Ovis aries: one gene and its partner. The main gene of each other region encodes a partner of the protein of the gene in region 2 in a complex. Links are inferred from orthologs where the notes say so. Each region holds a gene or a part of one and is shown on either strand. Other genes may lie near its edges.

What was found.
Region 1: GTF2A1 (region 2) and POLR2C share a complex: the UniProt entries of both Homo sapiens proteins name them as parts of the TBP-based Pol II pre-initiation complex. The link is inferred for Ovis aries from reciprocal best matches to the Homo sapiens genes GTF2A1 and POLR2C.

The regions. Positions count from the first base shown.
Region 1 is NC_056067.1:25,053,713-25,056,949, forward strand, and holds part of POLR2C (DNA-directed RNA polymerase II subunit RPB3), read left to right. Parts: intron 1-38; coding exon 39-91; intron 92-2,701; coding exon 2,702-2,830; intron 2,831-3,198; coding exon 3,199-3,237. UniProt on the Homo sapiens protein: Core component of RNA polymerase II (Pol II), a DNA-dependent RNA polymerase which synthesizes mRNA precursors and many functional non-coding RNAs using the four ribonucleoside triphosphates as substrates.
Region 2 is NC_056060.1:90,688,090-90,691,915, forward strand, and holds part of GTF2A1 (transcription initiation factor IIA subunit 1), read right to left. Parts: intron 2,250-3,826; coding exon 2,148-2,249; intron 1-2,147. UniProt on the Homo sapiens protein: TFIIA is a component of the transcription machinery of RNA polymerase II and plays an important role in transcriptional activation. TFIIA in a complex with TBP mediates transcriptional activity.

The DNA of each region.
Region 1 (3,237 bases), on a different chromosome or scaffold from region 2:
CCCCTGCCTTCTTCAGTGTGCTTTTCTCTGTCTCCCAGGATTAATCCCTCTCACCAGTGACGACATTGTGGACAAGTTGCAGTACTCCCGGGTATGCTGTGTGCTTGGGGAGCTCGGGGGAGGCAGGGAACTCAGTTCCCAGGGAGATTTTTTCCAGCCATCTCGATTTCGGCTTTTAGAAAGACAGTATGGAGATGTCTGGAGCCCAGGGCAGGCATCGGTCTTTGGTTCTGATGGGACCACAGATCGATGAGGCTCAAGGGGCATCAGAGAGTCTCATTAGCCATAGGGGACATAGACCTGGATACTCATTTATACCGAATGGGTGGAGCTGTTTCTCTTCAGCATCTGGTGTGCAGTGTTCTCCAGAGCATCTCTTCCCAGGGACAGGGGCCTAGGAGGCTAAAGAGCGTCAACAGAAGGCTAGTGGGTGAGGACAAGGAGCAGAGGGAGTGAGAACTGTCCTGCAGAGCAGCAGCTGTCTGCCAGCTTTATGCCTCACCCTATAGGTTGTCTTACTGAAACATGGCTCCATTCCCCTGGGGTGATGTTTGCCGCTTCCACGATACATTAATGGGCTCAGAACTAGGGAACGTGTAGGATAGGATTAGGTTACCTGCATCCTTTCACCAGAGCTGCATTAGTTGACAGCTTGAGAGTATTCCTTCTTGATGGCTTTATGTGGTCCTGAATCAACCCCTTTTCTGGTATTCCCAGGGGCACATCATTTTGGTGTGCTAATGGCTTAATTTGATATATTTTGTAAATGTATATGTGTGTTGCTGTTTGTTTTATTAATTGTTTATTTTTGGCTCTGCTGGGTCTTTGTTGCTGCTCGAGCTATTTCTAGTTGCATTGAGCGGGGATACTCCTGGTTGCAGTGTGCAGACCTCCACTGTGGTGGCTTCTTGTTGCGGGCACTGGCCTCAGGCTCAAGGGCGGCAGTAGCTGTGGCACACAGGTTCGGTGGTTGCTGCTTGCTGGCTCAGTAGTGGTTGTGGTGCACGGGCTTAGTTGCTCCATAGCATGTGGGATCTTCCTGGACCAGGGATTGAACCTGTGTCCCCTGCATTGACAGGTGGATTCTTATCCACTGCGCCTCCAGGGAAGTCCATATATGTGTGTGTTTTTTTTTTTAAATATTCAAGCACCAGCAAAGTGTGGAGCTAATAAAACAAATAGGCATGCTGCCGCCAAACCACTTGTCACATTTTGACATTTCATCATTTTTGCTTCATGTCCCCAGAGTCTGTTTTTAAGAAATAAAACATCACATATATTGATAAAGACAGTTGTACCACCAATTGAAGAGCAGTTAGTCCATGCCCTGTGACTAAACAGTTCCTTCCATTAAATTTTTTTCTAGTATTGCATTTACTGAATAAAGATGGTGTGGATTTTCCGTTTGTGTTTTCTTAAAATTTGCAGAAAAGTTAAAAATAGAATACATACTCATTTTCATTTCACTTTTAATTTGCAGTTGTTGATACTTCGCTATATTTGCTCTATGTTTCATATAGATGTTGTGATTTTTGCTAAACCATCTGAAAGAACGTTACAGAAACCATGATACTTCTCCCCTAACTACATCAGCATGTGTGTCCTAAAAATAAGGATATTTTCTTACCTAACCACAGTATGGAGCCTAAGAAAATTAGTGTGGATTTGTACTATCTATATACAGTCTAAATTCAGCTTTTCCTAGTTATCTTCGAAATGTCCATAATTGTTTTTCGGTTTGGCTGAACTGCTTGGCTTACCAGGTCTTAGTTCCCCGACCAGGGTTTGAACCCCACACTCTTGACAGAGAAAGGACAGAGTCTGAACCGCTGGACTGCCGAGGAATTCCCCCTCATTAGCTTTTTGTTTGTGGATCTGTGATGCACGCGTTGCATTTGGTTGTTACACCTCTTTAGTCTCTTGATCTCTTGAACAGACTCTTCTCTCTCTTTTTTTTAGGTTGAGTACCTTTTTATATTTTTGTCTTCCATTACATTTTGATTCCTTAATTTCATATTTCTAAGAGTGATTCCATCTCAGGGGTCCAGGTTGCCTTCCTGTCCCACCTGTGTGTGATTACAGGCTGGCCAGGGGTGGCCCATAGATTTCCTTCATCATCTTGAAAACGTCAAAAGTAGCTTGGATTTTCCTCACTGATATGAGGGGAGAACAGTTTGCTTGACTACATTCTGGTACCTCTCTTCTTGCCTGACGTTAAATGGTAGCAGCTAGTCTCTTAAGACGGGAGTGTTTCTAGAATCAGTTTAAAGAATGGCAAACTTGAGAATTATTAAAGCTGAGTGATACTTACATGGTGGCAGTCTGTTATACCCTTCTCTGCTTTTGTGAATGTGTGAAACTTTTTTAGAAAAGGTCAGTAGTCTGGAGCTTAAAAGGTACTTTTTTCTATTGTCCCCTAGATTGTTTTAAGTGGTAATTGCATTCCCAAGCTAGTTCCAGCTCATGGATCCTGAACTGTGCGGGATGAAAGCCTCCTCTGTTAGTGCCTTGGTTCTCTGAGGAAGAGCAGTTTAGCAGCCCAAGAGTGGTGTGTAGATGGATACAGCTGACGAGAGACTGGCGGCTGCGGCCACCCTTTCATCAGATGAAGAACCTTCAGGGACAGGGCATTAGAAGGGGGGAGCCAAGCCAGACTTCACCGTCTCTCCACAGACTCACTGCTATCTCTCTCCCGCCTCAGGACTGCACATGTGAAGAGTTCTGCCCCGAGTGCTCGGTGGAGTTCACTCTGGACGTGCGGTGCAACGAAGACCAGACGCGTCACGTCACATCTCGAGACCTCATCTCCAACAGTCCCCGGGTCATTCCGGTCAGGAAGGCCCTCCCTGTTGGGACCTTTGCTGTTCTCCTGGCTCCAGTGGGCCAGATTGGGGTGGATTCTTAGAAGATGCCAACTTCCCTGTGTTACCCTCTGCCTTAATGTGAGCCTGATGCTTAGAAGTACTAATGATTCTGGACCCTCGCCAGAATGGGCAGAAACATTGGTGCTGTGGGCCCTCTGCCGCTTTAGGACCCTTTTGAAGACCATGCTACTGTTTTGACTGAGGAGGTTGTCACAGCCATGAGATAGGGGTTAGAGGCCAGTCACCAGCACAGACGGGATCCCTGGAGGTGCTGGAAGATTTCCGGGTGAGATGAGCAGCTGCTAATAAATGCCTCTGTTTGGACTCCCTGCAGGTGACATCTAGGAACCGAGATAATGACCCCAACGACTAC
Region 2 (3,826 bases):
TTCTTATTCATATCCCTGAGATACTTAATGTGTTTGAGCAATTTCCATTGCTATTCTTCCAACTCATATCTCAAAGTTGGCAGTCTTATATTTTTAGATACCTACTCTTCACTGGCAGTAACCATCACATTTCTCCTAAGGTAAATAAATGTTTCCTCGTCCCATTCAAACCTGTATTTTCCCTCCCTCACATGGGGAGACTTTTAATGAAAACCCTACAGAAGCTGCCTACAGATGCTGCAATATTCTAAGATATATTCTAAGATATATTCATCACCACAATACAAGTGAGATTTGCTTTATTTAAATTTATAAGTTGCTAAATTGCAGCCTCCACACTTCTGTTGAATGGATAAATAAGACCACAACAAGTGCTACATAGCATTCACTAACTGTGATTTCTTATTTATACATAGCTCTAAAGGAGTTCAATTTCCAGTCTCTAAGCCAGCAGTTTTAAAACTCTTTGGTCTCAGGCTCCTTTATCATTTTCACAAATTAATGAGGACCTCAATGAGCTTTAAAAATAAAAAATTATTTATTTACTCGGCTGCACTGGGTCTAAGTTGCTGCACATGAGATATTCCACCCTGTTGTGGAACGTGCACTCTTCAATCGCTGCACGTGAACACTTAGCTGCCGCATGTGGGACCTAGTTCCCTGACCAGGGATCAAACCCCGGCCTCCTGCATTGAAAGCATGGAGTCTTAGCCACTGGACCACCAAGCAAGTCCCTCAATGAGCTTTTACAAAATTTTAAATAAGATTTTAAAAAAACTTTTACTTACTTAAAAGTAACATGTATCCATTATATGTTAACATAAATACTTTCAATGAAAATAACCATGTCTTCCAAATAAAATTTAGTGAGAAATGGCTTAAAGGAAAATAGTTGGATTCTCTCATCTGCTGCATTCACTTTGTTTTCACTGACGTATATTAAGAAAATCTGTCTTCCCACAGCTAAGTAGCTGGGAAAGGAAGAAGTATTTTAAGTAATGGTTTCTTAAAGGTTAGCTGCAATGTACTATGTGAGACCACATACTAATTAACTTTTCATATTCTTAGATTAAAATCCATTCATTTATCTTTAACTTTGAAGGGATTTTGCAACATCATGCATTGGTCATTTGGAAAATGCGAGTCCAGTGTAGTATGCAGATAGGCCGATGTTAACACATCTCACTACAGAATATCAAACAATTGAATATCTTAATATCAACGATCTTATCTCAACCTTAAAAGTAAGCATATTTTTAAGTCAGTGCATCAAAATATGAAGCATGCATAATGCACTTCTGCTGCATATGGAGCAGTTATCTCAAGGAACAGCACTTGTTCATTTGAGTTTCAAGTTTAACTGGTCACTTTTTTCATGTAATACAACTTTTACTGGAAATGTGAGAGACATACTGTGATTATTCAGACTTGGGCACTGCTCCACCTCACTGACCCCTTGGAAGAGCCTGTGGGAAAGTCCACGGACCATATTTTGAGAATCACAGTTCTGAGCAGTAAGGTAAAAATACTCCTTGATTTCACGACTCTTAGAGCAATAAGAAAACACAAACATAAAATAAAAATATCTGTATTTTTCTGCTTAAATCCACATAAATCTAAGAGACAGAAAAGGAGCTCCCAAACTAGGATATATGATAAACCAAATACTTGGCCCATAGAGAAAATCCGACTCCAGAATGTGAAACTGATCAAGCACTTGCTCAATCTCTACAGCATACACATTTTAGAATATCCAGACATTGAGACAAAAAAAAGGAAAACAAAACCTTATAGGAATGTAAATATGAAGTTATTAGACCATAAATGAAACTGCCCACTAATAACAGCTAATACTATCGCCAGGCACTGTGCTAAACACTTCAGATAGTTATTACATTTAATCCTCAAAACAAACCTAAAAGGTAAGTACTATGAACTCCCATCTGACATATACGGAAACTGAAATATAAGTGGTTTGCCTAAGGTCAGAGGAAGAATGTATGGTAGAACTGGTATTCAAAACAAGCACCCTTCACTAATTACACCGCTTCCTGCAACAAAGTCAAATGGTCATCATATGAAAAAATAATGGGAGTATAGTTTTTCAATGAAGAGTGTTAAAAAAGAAAAAAACAAGGCAAACTCACAGTTTTTAGTTCCATCAGAACTTGTTCATCGACTCCATCATCCAAAAAGATGTCTCTCACATCATTAATAACATCTTCGATCACAGATCTGTATAGTTTAGGCTTTAAAGGGAAAATAAAAATTTAAGATTGTTGAAAAAGACTGTTTCTCACATTTTAAAATAGGTATAGTGTTGTAAAGTAAAATAAAGTTTAAAAAAAAAAGGTAACATGTTTTTACAAATTCAAAACAAATTAACACAATAGTCATTTTTCTAACTCTCTAAAACTTATTTTAGAAGATGTAAGTTTAAAGGAATGGTCATTGTAAAAAGATCATTTGCCTTAGTTAAACTGAATGACTTGATGACTGCATATTGTAACAAAAGTTTTATGACTATTTAATACAATTCATATTTAACAGAGAAGATCACTACACATAGAAGGCCCACACAATTTTCAGTTATAATTTCTATGTTGTTACAGTCAAAACAGTCAATGGGACCCAACAATACAGTATTACTGGTTGCTATGTCTGGTTTTTATTATTCCTTGCTTAGTTTAACCGGTTATATCTCCTAACCTCATCTCCCTCTTAAGAGTTCAGAGTCTTATGTTCTGTGATCATTTGCCTGGCAGTAATTTGAAAGTTAATGAGTATTCACATTTAAAATCACCTGATTTTGGCTTTTGTTACCCAGTCTGTACCTTTAAATTATACCATAAAGCCTTTCCTATAACCACAATAACAGGTCTCAGTCTCAGAGGAACAAGGCACAATGATCTCTTTTCCAGGATTTCTCTCCTACTACTGCCCAGAGAAGGAAATGGCAACCCACTCCAGTATTCTTGTCTGGGAAATCCCATGGATAGAGGAGCCTGGTGGGTTCATGAGGTCTCAAAGAGTCGGACATGACTGAGAGACTAAAACCAAAGAGCTGCCCAGATGACGCTATGGAACAGAATACTGAGCAGCTTTGATACTTATTTTTTAACCTATTATTATAACTGTTATTGTTGGCATTACTGGTGGGGGGGGGGGGGCGGGAGCTTTCAGAAGGTTGCCAAAAATAAAATGAGAATAGATGTGAAAGCACTTCAAAAGTATATAAAGTATTTTTAAAAAACCAAAAAGTAAGAGACAGAACAATTTGCCCAACCCATATCCTATTTTTAAGATGTTGGACAAAAGGAAGATTGCTGTCAGAGTTACCTTGTTATAAATTCTATCCATTATCACACAAAGCTATTAACAGCCTTTTTCTTTTAATGCTTTGTCATTATTTGAGCTTTATATCTTGCTTAAGGTAAAAGTTACTGCTACCCAATAAAACCAAAGGTTTGCTCTTATAAACAAACCTCAAATAGAAAAGTTTTATTAGCATCTCCATCAGCAATACTGTTATCACAGGGGAAATCTCTTAATGTGTCTTTGTCCAGCCAAAAATACAAGTATGTTCCTCTATATAACTTACCTCAACCATTAAAATCTATTTGTTCCCTTTCAATGCAACAGAAAAACAATGTATCTGAGTTCTCACCTTTGCTGTTCCACTTACTCTCTATTTTGCCAAATCTGTCTCTGTGAACTAAAATTATTCAAGTGACTTCTGCCATCTCTACAATATCTCCTTAAAATGTCTGATTCTATAAACAAGGGAAGTCTGCCTATGGATATTACTTGATCTATAGTGATTCAA